3 linked regions of the Nothobranchius furzeri genome follow. The protein of the gene in region 1 binds, or shares a complex with, the protein of each later gene. Links are inferred from orthologs where the notes say so. Each region holds a gene or a part of one and is shown in the gene's direction. Other genes may lie near its edges.

Region 1 (4,053 bases):
TGTGTGTGTGTGTGTGTGTGTGTGTGTGACGACCAAATAGGTCACCTGACTTTCATGGTTCTGATTACTGTTTAAGGTTCTTGGATGAGGTTTAAGTCCTGAACTCCTGACCCAGGATCAGAGCTGAAGAACATCTTAAAGGAACAGGAGAAGAAGTCCTGTTTTGTTTCTTCATCCTACCTCATCAGAGTTTTATTTCCGCTCTGAACTCCATGCAGATGAAAACATTTCTGAGTCAAAGTCATGGTTTGTTTCATCAACCTGCCACTTTACCTTCCTGTGATGTGACTTAGTGAGGGTTTGGCACCAACAGCAACTTGAAACAGGAAAGAGTCTTTTGGCTCTTTGGTGCAAAACCTGCAGCAAAAGTTAAGCATGACTAATGGTGAATGAATGGAGCCCATTTGGTCAGCCATGACATGTTAAAATATTTAAAAAACAAGAATCTAAACTTCTCTCTAATCTGTAGACTCATGACTTTATGAAAGGTTTAATGCATCTTTTTCCATATAATCATCTGAGGAAGGAGGTCAGATGTGAGGGTTGCTTTTCTCTACTGAATTATCAGAGGCTTCACTCAAGCTAATGATTAGTCCTAATTTTAATCTGAGTTTTGGGGTCTTCAGATCAAACCTCAACAGATGTCTACGTGTTCTCCAGCTTGGGACTCACCTTCAGGGCTTCATCTCATTGTGTTTTATAAAGTAACTGGAGCCTCAGTCTCCTTCATCTGGCCTTAGAATAGGAAACATCCAGCTGCTGCAGCTCTTCAGAGCCACACAGATGTGTGTGTGTGTGTGTGTGTGTGTGTGTGTGTGTGTGTGTGGGGCAGCAGTAGCTCAACAGGTTGAGCGGGTTTTCCAGTAGTCGGAAGGTTGCAGGTTCGATCCCGGCTCCGGACAGAGAATTCTGCTGTTGTGTCCTTGGGCAAGACACTTAACCCAGCTTGCCTGCTGGCGGTGGTCGGAGGGACCAGTGCTCGGCAGCCTCAACTCTGTCAGTGTGCCCCAGAGCAGCTGTGGCTACATCGTAGCTCATCACCATCAGTGTGTGAATGGAAGAATGATACACTGTAAAGCGCTTTGGAGTCCTTACTCTGGCGGGCGCTATACAAAAGTGGGTCATTTATCATTTATCATAATTTGTGTGTGTGTGTGTGTGTGTGTGTGTGTGTGTGTGTGTGTGTGTGTGTGTGTGTGTGTGTGTGTGTGTGTGTGTGTGTAAAAGAGGGAGGAAGATGTGGGCTGAATTATCACTGTTAAATGAGTTGGGACAGAATGACATCACGGCGTAATTAAAGCCGCTCTCTGGAATTCCTGCTCAGGTCTGCTGCAGGATTCTGGAGCACCTGCGGGTTGTTGTGTGTGAGTGAAATATTTTCACTGGACAGAGTTCAAGCTTTGGAGGGAAAGAGAAAAAACGGAGGCAACCGCATTACGCCATACTCTCCTCACATGGAAAAAAGAAGTGGGATTTAAAGAAGTTGTTACATGGTACCAAGCAGAACAGTTCGCTGGAGAGCAGAAGACGGGTCCAGGTCTCAGAGTCTCACCTGTCCACCATCAGCAGTATGGTTCTGACACCTGACCCTGACCAAATGACTCTTTTAACCCTGTGAGAGTCAGACCCCGTTTCTCTAGCGTTTGGGAGCGAGACGCGCATTTTGGACCTCACGGGTCTGAGGATGAGAAAGGTCACTGAACTTCCCGCGCTCCTGGTGTCGGCTCAGCGGGTCAGATCGTTCTGAAGAGATTTATAGACGATGTGCCAAAAGGCTGCAGAGATTTAGGATGAGAGTGAAGAATCTTCCCCTTCTGCTCAGCTGGACGATAGTCTTCCTGCATCCCGTCCGCGGTTCGCTCAGCAGAACCAGAACCACCTTGGAGCGAACGGGAGGAACCGCTGGCTCTTGGAAACCAGCTCCTCGTGTGCGCGTGAGTGCGCTGCCGACCACAGGTGAGACGAATTTTGCCAGTCAGAAACCAGCGGGGATCTCCGCTGCACCGGGGAGGCTGGACCAGCCGCAGCAGGACGGAGCGCAAAGATCCGCGTGCAGAGAGGCTGTGTGCTCCTGGCGTCCCGCCGCTAAGGCACGTGTTGAAGCGCACGCGCCCGCAGCTGTTAACGCAAATGCTGCCAGGAAAGGAACTGAGACGTTTGGAGGAGGTGGCTCACCGGGGAAAGCCGCTTCCAGGGCGGGCGCAGCAGCCGCCGCTGCGCGCAGCGGGTATGAGCAAAAACAGAGCGCGGCTGTGGAGCGGGGCGTCAGCATCAAGTCACCGAAACCAGGCGCCAGGCAGCCGGTGGTGACCCCTCACGACTACATGCTGTCTCTGTACTGGTCACTGAGCAGCGGAGACGTGAACAGCAGCGCGGCTCTGGCCAACACCATCACCAGCTTTGTGGACAAGGGACAAGGTAACTGTCTCTGTCCTCTATAACGAAGACTATAGGCTTTCAAAGGAACAGAAAGAAAGAAAGAAAGAAAGAAAGAAAGAAAGAAAGAAAGAAAGAAAGAAATGAAAAACTGAATAACTTTCCTAGGATTTGGATCCAGTTCTGGGATCAGATGGTTTGGAAGCAGCAGAATGTTCTGTCGGTCATGTTTCAGTTGTAGGGAAACATCACTGCTGCTGCTCACACACAAACCTTACTTAAAACCAACCATTTAGTTCTGAGTGAAGATTTGGTGAAGGAGGGCTCTGTAGACCTCCACAGATCTAGGATCAGTAGGAGAAAGAACAGGATCTGAAGGGAAGGCCTGTGATTGGTTTAGCTCATACTGGAATAAAAGATATTTTAGTGTTTGCATTGAAAACTGTTCTTCTCGACCTCTAGGGTCCCCCAGGGTTCAGTTTTGGGTCCTTAGCTTTTCTCGATCTACATACTTCCTCCAGGCATCATTCTAAAAAAACTTAGTAAACTATCACATTTAATGCCTGGCAAGCCCGACTAAATAATATATTATTAAGTCCGGCAACACTCCATCGATGGCTCTCGGGCTCTACAGTTGCCTTTCAAACGATCTCCCGCACGCTACTGGACAATGAACAACGTGGCATACTCACCACAACGGATGTCGATAAACGAGGTTGTAGAAGGTAAAAATACATCCTTTTTCTAAATAAACAACTTAAAAACGTGTATCTGCTCCTGGTTCAATAAAGCCCAAGTCCCAATAGTCCAGAATTAATGTAAAACCCATTTAAAATGAGCGGTCGCCATTTTTTTCCACTCTTGCATCATCCCGCCCACCAGACAAACAGAGGTCCGTGATTGGTCCACAAAGCAGATAGGTCACTGTGACCGGCCCACCATTGTGGACCAATCACAGCGCTCTATCAGTTTGAAACCCCTCTAGAGAGCTGTGATTGGCCAGCCAGAATGCTGCTAGGGGCTGCAGAGGTTCTAGTGGAGCGTTCCTAGACCAAAGTTTGGTCTAGTTCACTAGACTAGTTCTGGGCTAGTTCACTAGGCTACACATGTATGCAGATGACTGACTACTACTATGTCAGCCCAAGCTCTCCTGCAGTCTGTGTTCAGGATCGTTCCTCTGTAATTAAAACCTGTTTTTCCTCTAATTACCTTCATCTAAATGAGGACAAAACCAATGCTATTGTAATAAAAGTAGCCGTGGGCAGCACGGGCAGAATATCTTGCCCTCCGGTCAGAACCTGAACACACCACCAGTAGGCAACGACTTATAAAAGACACACTTTATTGCACAACCAATAATAAAACACAACGATAAAACACCATGGCCCAAGCCCTCTCTTGTAAAACCAACTGTCCAGCATGAGTCACGTAAGCAGCGGTACTTAGCTGTCACGGATGGTGTGACCCCCGTCCCCGGGGTCTGAGCTTCCAACGCCGTCCAACGCCCCGGGGTGTAGCTTGCGAGGACGGCGGGTAAATCCACAACATAAGTCCACTGCCAGAGTCCGTAGCGGCAGATGTCGGCGCGGCCTTGGCATCACCTATGCCCAGCCCTAACTGTCTAAAGAAGGCGACCAGCCTTCCCTCCTGGCGCTGGAACACTAAACACCTGTTCAG
Region 2 (4,270 bases), on another chromosome or scaffold:
CCCTTCGTGTGTTCTTCACTGAGTCTCGCACACATTAAAGTCTGTTGTTGCTTCCAGAAGAAACCAGAAAAAAACTTTTACAGTTTCAATGTGAGATCACAACAAATCCTATTTTTTCAACATAATGCCTTTTGAACGATAGTTCTAAAAAAATGTCTATTTTAATATTTACTTGTTACATGACTTGTATATAATTGAATAAATTTTATTTGTTGTGAAATTACATTTTGGTTCGTGTGAGTTCTTCATTTTGACTTGAATGTGTCTCCTCCACCAGTAGGAGGTGCTATTGGTGACAGAAGCGCAAAGCTCCATTAAATGTCCTTATTTTAATTATTAAAACACTGAAAACAAGAGAAAATAGTTACAATATTAATTTATTATGAAATAGTAAAGATGATAAATATTAGGAATTATTGTGACATTCCTTTTTCTACATTCTACAATTATTACATTAGGATTGTAATAATTATTCCAGATGTTTTAAGGCATCTCTAAAGTAGACTTGTATTTAAGTATATTTGTCACGAATTCATTTTTCAATAAATACAAATTTTCTAAAATATTGAAACTTGATTTTAGTTCTCCATCTTAAAAAGATTCAAAGAAACATTTAAACTCAATTTTTTAAAATGCACACGTGAGAATTAAAAAGTACTCAATTAGGTCATTTTTATTTTTAAATGTTTAAATAAAATGACATACTCAGTAATATGTTGTTCAATTAAAAACAGTAAGCGTATCTGAAGAAAATCAAACCTTAAATTAGTTTATTTAAACGTAGCTGTCTCCCTACACGTTTTACACATTAAACCAATTTGTTTTATTTCATAAATTTAATGATTTACTTAGACTGATTTGTAACTAATTAATCACTAAATCAGCTCTTTTAAACAAACTTGTTTTGTATTTTTCTGCATTCCCCTTGAAAAACGACCCAAACTGACTGTTAGCCCGTCTCCCCCTGCCTCCCCCTGAGTCTGATTAAAATGCTAATTTGCCTCCTCTTCCTCCCCTCGGGCCGGAGGAGGAGCCCCTGCGGAGCTGTAATTGGCCCCTCGGAGCCTCTCCGTGTCGGCTACAAACGTATGTACAGTCTATGGCTACAAATGAGCGCGGAGGGTCGCTCCTCAGCGGGGAGTCCGATCAGCTTCACAGCTTCCGAGTCGGCCTTTCTCACCTATGAGCTCACCCACAGAGCCGCTGATGGGCGGGGGTCAAGGGGGGAGGAGGGGGTGGAAAAGAGGCAAATAAAACCACGCTCACGTGCTGGAGCGGATTTTATGCAGATCTGCAGCGTATTTTGAGTTTTTGCTCCAAGAAGCCCCCCCCCCCCCCCCTCTCTCTCTCTCTCTCTCTCTCTCTCTCTCTCTCTCTCTCTCTCTCTCCTTCCCCTTCCTCCCCCTGGGTGAGTCAGGCTCCCTCAGACCTGAGGACCGGTGTTTTCCTCCACAGAGCCGAGCTGGGAAAAATGGAGCTTGTGCCTTTAAGGCGCCCGACTGCCTGTCGCTTTGTGCTGCGGAGAGACTGACGCCCTGTGGACACAGTGGACACTTGAGCGGTGGCAGGAACCCCATCCTGGAGAAGTTCAAAGAGAAAGCACAAGTCGGTCCTTTGGAGAACAGAGACGCTGAACGGCTGTGAAACCGCGCTGTGGTGAGTTTTCCAACACCTCATCTCTTTGTTTCCTCGCTGCGTTTGTTTCTCTAAGCGCGAGAGAGCAAAAAGGAACGAGAGACGAGGGCTTAAAGAAACGCGCAGAGGAATGAGGCAGCTAATGTTCCTCACATGTTTCCTCTCCCTCATGTGAAGCAGGGAGGCAGAAGAGAGGAGCAGAGTTTGATGAAACCGGTAGAAAATGGGTGAAGGGGGCTGATGTTGCCAGATGTTTTGAATGAAATCTGACTGCAGGCCTTTTTAGAATGTTAACTTTGCATGACAGAACTGTGATTTCCATGATGTTTGCAATTAGATTTAATACATTTTGAGTACTTTGGATTAGAAATAAGCCAAACAGGTGAGTGTTTGTAACTGCACCTCCTGTCACTCTCCCTCTGAGATTTATTCCTCTTTTCCAGTTGGAAGGTGGTGACCCGTCAGGATGAGGCCTGGTCAGCTGATCCTCCCCGTCACAGCAGCTCTCCTCTTCCTCCTGTCAGGGCTGTCTCTGACCTCTGGGTGCAACAAAGCCCTCTGTGCCAGCGACGTCAGCAAGTGTCTCATCCAGGTAACTCTGCATCCTTCACAACCACGCCAAATCCACCCCACTTGGGAGGCAAGTGTGGGTTCTGTGGTTCTGGTCTCAGCTGGATGATGCAATCAGATCCTGAGTGTAGTGATGAAAGCAGGAAAAGTGCAGCCGAGTTCAAGCTTTTTTCCCCCTTTTCCAGCTGTTTCATATATACAGACACTGTTGATATCCCCGACAGGAACACAACGGAGGAGCGGGAGAGCCTCCGATCCCACTTTATTGCTTTTTCCAAATAAAACCTCACATTAAGTTTCTTTCTTCAGCTTTCAGCCCAGAACAAAGACGGGATCTGTTTGGGAAGAATGTCGATGAATTCCTCTGATAAGCAAGGAAACGTTGGAACAAATAGTTGTTTTCCAGAAAGCAGAGATGATTATTTCACCTGAGCTGCTGTTAGAATTACAGCTCTGGTTGTCTGGGAGCTTTTTTCCTATAGCTCTGACTTTTCATCTGGGACTTTTCCCAGATGTCACTTTTCCCCTTTCCCATCCACAGCCGTTTTGCACTTGCGGAGCGGGAAGAAGTCCCATTAGCATCCTTAAAGAACAGTCTTTACCTGAGGTGTGTTTCACTTGCATGACCTCAGCCACAGTAATCCGTGGGGATGTTTTTAGCAGGTAAAAGGATCCTCTCACTGGGATGTTTGCAGTTTTTCATGCTAATGAATACTTTGTTTGAAGGTGAGATATGCAAGCTTCAGATTAAATCAGCATTCAGCTGAACCAGAAACATGAATGCACCTTTGTACCAAAAACACACCTGGAGATAAAAAAAACAAACATATCCAGCGTGGTTCTAGTTTCTGTATAAATACAAAAGCTCTTTGATCTAATGCAAAGCTCAACGATCAAAGCATTTGCCACAAATTAAAGCTAATTGCTGTACATTTTGTTGGCTGGTTACCCATCTCAGATCCCTTTCCTTTCAAAAAAGTCAAAGAGGGATGTAGTCTTTGTTTACGATCTGTAAGCCGAAGGGTTGCCAAGTGTACGCTGGTAAACGCTGCTGAGCCGGCAGCATGTATTTGGTGTATTTCGACACCATCCAGAAAAAGGCATCAGGGTTGTGAATGGTGTGTTAGCCAGTAACAGGAGCGGCCCAGTTGTTGTTGTACCCTTAAAGAGCAAGTCACCCCCAAATCAACTGCTTTTTTCTGATAAACTATATAAATGCATGTCTAATCGTGCTGCAGACACGTGTAGGCAATAGTTTTGCACTTAAGTGTATTTTAGTTTAAATTTTAAATTTTCTGCCTAAAACTGTCAGTGTTGTGCCGTTGTCAGATAAATACTCTGCACTTCATTTGAATTTAAATCTGCCATCGCTATTGGCTAGGACACATGTGTCAGACACAAGGCCCGTGGGCCAGATGCGGCCAGCGGAGCATTTTTATGTGGCCCGCGAGATAAATATCAAAAATATATTAAAACTGACCCACTGGCTGATTTTACCGCAAAGACTACAACTCCCATGATGCTTTGCGGCATTAGCGCGGAGCCGAAGCGCCCCTCCTTTGTGTTTTTTCCAGCGTCTGCTGCCAGTGTCTGCAGCTCCGCTGTCTCAGACAAACTAAACACTCCTCTCACTCAACGCAGAGTTCACTCAGCTATTTTCCGACGTTGAAGCCCAGAAACGGAGGTTTTAACCGCTCAGTAATGTGTTCATGACTGAAAGAGAAAGTTTTCCAACTAATGTCCAGACAGAGCTGATATAACTCCAGCGAGCAGCGACACGCTCAAACCAGCACGGCTCTGTTGTTGCTGTTGTTGTGTTTCCTCCCCGACACACAACAACGTGGTCAAGCTGCTCAGACATGTTCATCAGCACAAACCTATGTGAGCACCTGTTGTCATCTAATGTTGTCATTATTATGATGAAGATGAACAAAACAACAGGAGTCTCCTCCTCAGCTCAGATCAACCCCATGATGCAGGTATCTGGCTGGAACAGGTGAGCATCACAGTAAACCAGTGGAGCAAACTGAGCTTTAAATATTTAGGTTTTCTGCTCATTTTCTGC
Region 3 (4,196 bases), on another chromosome or scaffold:
GAGGGTTGCACCCTGCCAGGGTTGCCCTTTGTCACCGGTTCTGTTCATAACCTTCATGGACAGAATTTCTAGGCGCAGCCGTGGTGTGGAGTGTGTCGAGTTTGGTGGCAGGAGAATCTCGTCTCTGCTTTTTGTGGATGATGTGATCCTCATAGCTTCATCCAGCTCTGACCTTCAGCTCTTACTGGGTTGGTTCACGGACGAGTGTGAAGCGGCTGGGATGAGGATCAGCACCTCCAAATCTGAGACCATGGTTCTCGACCGTGAAAGGGTGGCTTGCCAACTCTGGGTCGGGAGAGAGGTCCTACCTCAAGTGGAGGAGTTTAAGTATCTCGGGGTCTTGTTCATGAGTGAGGGTAGGAGGGATCGGGAGATCGACAGGCGGATTGGTTTGGCATCTGCAGTGATTCGGACGCTGAGCCGATCTGCTGTGGTGAAGAGGGAGCTGAGCCAGAAAGCCAGGCTCTCGATTTACCGGTCGATCTATGTCCCAATCCTCACCTATGGTCATGAGCTTTGGGTAATGACCGAAAGAACGAGATTGTGAATACAAGCGGCCGAAATGAGTTTCCTCCGTAGGGTGGCCGGGCTCAGCCTTAGAGATAGGGTGAGGAGCTCGAACATTCAGGAGGGACTCGGGGTAGAACTGCTGCTTCTCTGGATCGAAAGAAGTCATTTGAGGTGGTTTCGGCATCTGGTCAGGATGCCTCCTGCACACCTCCCTGGGGAGGTGTTTCGGGCATGTCCTGCTGGCGGGAGGCTCCCCGGTCGACCCAGGACACATTGGAGAGGTTACATCTCCAATCTGGTCCGGGAACGCCTTGGGGTCCTGCCGGAGGAGCTGGTGGAGGTGGCTGGGGAGAGGATGGTCTGGAGCTCCCTAGTTGGGATGCTGCCCCCGCGAACCGGACCCGGATAAGCGGAGGAAGATGATAATGACAATTTTGTCTTAAATGTCTTCAAATTTTGATTTCAAATCTTTCAGTATCTAAATTAATATGTTAACTTTGCTGGTCAGAATAAGTTATTATGGGACTTACTGTAGAGCTGGACCTGCACTTTTTATTATTTTAATCATTTATACCATTTTAATTTCTCATAATACCAAATAATTTATTTGTATATTAAAGCCAGAGTCTGTGTTTATTTCTTCAGACAAATAATTATATTTTCAAAAAATGCCTAAATGAATAGTTTGACGCAAACAAACTATTTATTAATCCGAGATTCATCATCAATCTGCTTATCATCTATTGCATTTACCAGGAAATAGTCGTGCTGGACAAAAACTCCGTGAATACGTTAGGAACCTTAGAGTGAGCCGTCTTCACGCTCATAGACTATCTTAGTTGTGTTTGCTCTTCATCGTCTAACAGGAAAAACCGCAGAGTGAGAGGTCTTGCGGCTGGAGGAGGACGGCACTGAAAACATCGCAGAACTCGCTGGAATTTCGAGTTTCTGTTCCGCTGCTGCTGGTCTGGATCTGACCCACGGGATCGTTTTTAAAACAGGAGAAACAATCGGAAGCCAAACCAAAGCACCAATTAAAACAGGTAAGGCAGGTCCGCCCTAACCCATAACTTCTTACGGGTCCAAACCCTGTATGTACAGTCTATGGTCCTAACCCAATTGTCTCACCGTCTATGTCCTGGAGCATAAGTTACACACGGGGTTTAAAGGTGTTTGTTGTAAAACAACCGCGGAATTGCTTTCACAAGATGGACGAGTGTGTTTTTTTTTAACCAAAACTATGTGTCGCCTTGACATCAATATTATTTGATGATTTTACATTTGGTTTGTAGACTCAAGTGATTTAGTAAGAGTCCCATGGACTGATTTCTGCGTTGGCGCCAGGACATAGACGCATCCAACCGGGGGAAAAGTTTGCTTTACTTTAGCCGTAACTCGAAATCTCGCTGTTTTTAGGCGGAAATCACATTTTTATTTTATTTTAAAAGACTCCAGTTGGTGTCAGGCAAACGAGTCACTTTGTGTTTTTGTTTATTCTAAACCAGTTTGTTTACCGCTCGTTAGCCTGTTAATCGGTTAGCATGCCGGCTAGCCTTTTTTCGTAAATGGCTGGGAAAGTTAAAATGCGACAACCCTTTCGTGAGATTCTGGTTGTTTGTGAAGGTTGCATTTAGTGTGGACGTGCCCGGGTCAGACGGGTGTTTTTATCGTAAACAGGCAGCGTCCTCCTGGTTTTTGTCCCCGTGGGTGCTGCTGGTTTGGGACCAGTCTCATTTGCATCAACTCCATCAGCTGTCTGCTTTCTAACATTGTGTTTATTTATCTCCTCAAACTCGAGTAACGTCTTTGATCTGTTGCGTTGTGACTTTTAAGGGTAACTGGTGACTTATGTCAGAGAGGAGGTGTCTACCGCGTCATGGCTCATGACTGAGGTTGTTGTGGTTGTTGCTGATGGGACTCATCACTCAGCAGCCAATTAAAACCTCTAGTTCTATTCTTCTTTCTTTTTTATTTTACTTGTTCCCATCCAACCCCTAGGCCCAAACCGATGCTGGCTTTACATGAAACATGATCTAATCTAATGTCACAAACTCCTGAAGGGTAACAGCAGAGCTGCTGGAGAACCATCTGGGCTAAATGGTTGGTTCTGGTCTCGTTTGAACTCTTCAAATTGTTCCTAACACAGTCAGAATGGCTGCAGACTGAGCTCCAGATGTCTGAATGTGGTTAGAGCAGAGAGATGTCTGACCGGAGCACAAACGTTGGTTGTAATCGTGCTTTGGGCCAGTTCAGGCTCAGTAATGTAGAATCGTGTCAAAAAGCTGCACGTCTGGGCTGATCCACACATAGATTTGGCGTGGCTCCAACCACAGCTGCTGCCAATCTTTTTTCTGATGTTGACTAATCTGTGATTTCATTGATGCCTGCTTCCTGTGGGTCTCTGTAACTAGAACCTTCCTCAGAACATTCATGTAAGGACCAGTAAAGCAAAGGAATCAGAGTCAGAAGGGTTTATTTCCATATGTGTGAGAAGGTTCACAACATTAGGTAGCTGCTGTGGTGCTTGGTGCAAAAATCAGAAATAAGTACAATAAAATAATAATAATGTAGAGAAGCAACAGAGAAAAGACTAATATACACAAAACAAGTCGGTACTGGTGAGAGCAGATCAGACACAACACTGGGTCAGGTGACTGGAGTGGGCAGTCCTAGGATTGTTATTCATGAGTCCAACTGCAGAGAGATGAGAGGTTCGGGTCCAAATGGATCAGAACCTCCTGATGGAGCAAATCTAAAAGACTGTCCAGGGTGAAATGGTCCTGGAGGTGTACAGGTCCTGCATAGAGGGGTGTTTGCAGCCAATGACCTTCTCAGGTGAGCGTACAAGCCACTGCAGCCTCCTCTTATGTCTGATGGAAGTGTAACAGTCTGCTCACTAACACACCGTAAACACTGCTGTTGGTTGGAACTCTAATGTGGCGATGGTGATAGAACGTGTGCTGATCTACCAACGCAGAGCGACGGTGGAATTATTCACATTAGGGCTGGACAATATATCTGCATCAGAATCGGTATCTGCCGTTGTTTTTAACATGTCAGTATCGATCCGATAAAAAAAAAAATACTGGGCTGATATTATCAACCGATATTTTTTTCATCTTGTCACCATTTGTTTGCCTGTTTCAGAGGGTGAGGGGGTGATGTGTGTTTGTTTAGTCACGTGACAGTGATCGTAATCATCTCAGAAGCATACATGTGTGTGTTGCATGTACGTAATAACAAATTCAGCTTTAATGATTTTCATTCTATACAAAATCTGCTGATTTCAGAAGCATTAATGTCAGTATATCAGTATCGGCCATAACAATGACCTTAATATCGGTATTAGGGTTGTCACGGTGTGAAAATTTAACCTCACGGTTATTGTGACCAAAATTACCACGGTTTTCGGTATTATTGCGGTATTTTTTTAAACGTGCTACATTTTCATACAATTAAATAAACCCTGTTTGTCAGAAAATATTGTCCTCAGTTTGTGTCTAAGTTTAGCCTAAAATGTGTTATTTTGTAATGATGTTGTTTATTTGTTTACATTTTTTCCCTTTAGTCTTTAAAATACCAATATTTGCCCATAACTTCTTATTTTATGTCTGTTTGATGTCATCATTTTAAAAATATTAGATCAGATGATACTCAGTACTCAAGTAGCCTTCTAATCAGATACT

The links. The genes of interacting proteins can lie anywhere in the genome.
Region 2: the proteins of gdf5 (region 1) and twsg1a are in contact, whole or in part, in a crystal structure (PDB 8BWL), measured with the Homo sapiens proteins. The link is inferred for Nothobranchius furzeri from reciprocal best matches to the Homo sapiens genes GDF5 and TWSG1. Residues at the interface, in NP_000548.2 of Homo sapiens: Glu434, Phe435, Pro436, Ser439, His440, Glu442, Asn445, Val448, Ile449, Leu452, Ser455; in NP_065699.1 of Homo sapiens: Cys26, Lys28, Cys31, Ala32, Ser33, Val35, Ser36, Leu39, Ile40, Cys44, Gln45, Cys46, Arg47, Cys73, Val74.
Region 3: the proteins of gdf5 (region 1) and bmpr1aa are in contact, whole or in part, in a crystal structure (PDB 3QB4), measured with the Homo sapiens proteins. The link is inferred for Nothobranchius furzeri from reciprocal best matches to the Homo sapiens genes GDF5 and BMPR1A. Residues at the interface, in NP_000548.2 of Homo sapiens: Arg399, Phe435, Pro436, Leu437, Ser439, His440, Glu442, Pro443, Asn445, Val448, Ile449, Leu452, Ser455, Met456, Pro458; in NP_001393490.1 of Homo sapiens: Gly65, His66, Cys67, Pro68, Ile77, Thr78, Phe83, Ile85, Glu87, Cys100, Met101, Lys102, Glu104, Gly105, Phe108, Gln109, Asp112, Ser113, Lys115, Ala116, Gln117, Arg120, Ile122.

Annotation. Positions count from the first base shown.
Region 1 is NC_091743.1:78,134,796-78,138,848, reverse strand, and holds the start of gdf5 (growth/differentiation factor 5), read left to right. Parts: upstream 1-1,246; 5' UTR 1,247-1,790; coding exon 1,791-2,418; intron 2,419-4,053. UniProt on the Homo sapiens protein: Growth factor involved in bone and cartilage formation. During cartilage development regulates differentiation of chondrogenic tissue through two pathways.
Region 2 is NC_091751.1:42,813,374-42,817,643, forward strand, and holds the start of twsg1a (twisted gastrulation protein homolog 1-A), read left to right. Parts: upstream 1-1,464; 5' UTR 1,465-1,656; intron 1,657-2,078; 5' UTR 2,079-2,101; coding exon 2,102-2,227; intron 2,228-4,270. UniProt on the Homo sapiens protein: May be involved in dorsoventral axis formation. Seems to antagonize BMP signaling by forming ternary complexes with CHRD and BMPs, thereby preventing BMPs from binding to their receptors.
Region 3 is NC_091752.1:44,663,070-44,667,265, reverse strand, and holds the start of bmpr1aa (bone morphogenetic protein receptor, type IAa), read left to right. Parts: upstream 1-1,390; 5' UTR 1,391-1,553; intron 1,554-4,196. UniProt on the Homo sapiens protein: On ligand binding, forms a receptor complex consisting of two type II and two type I transmembrane serine/threonine kinases.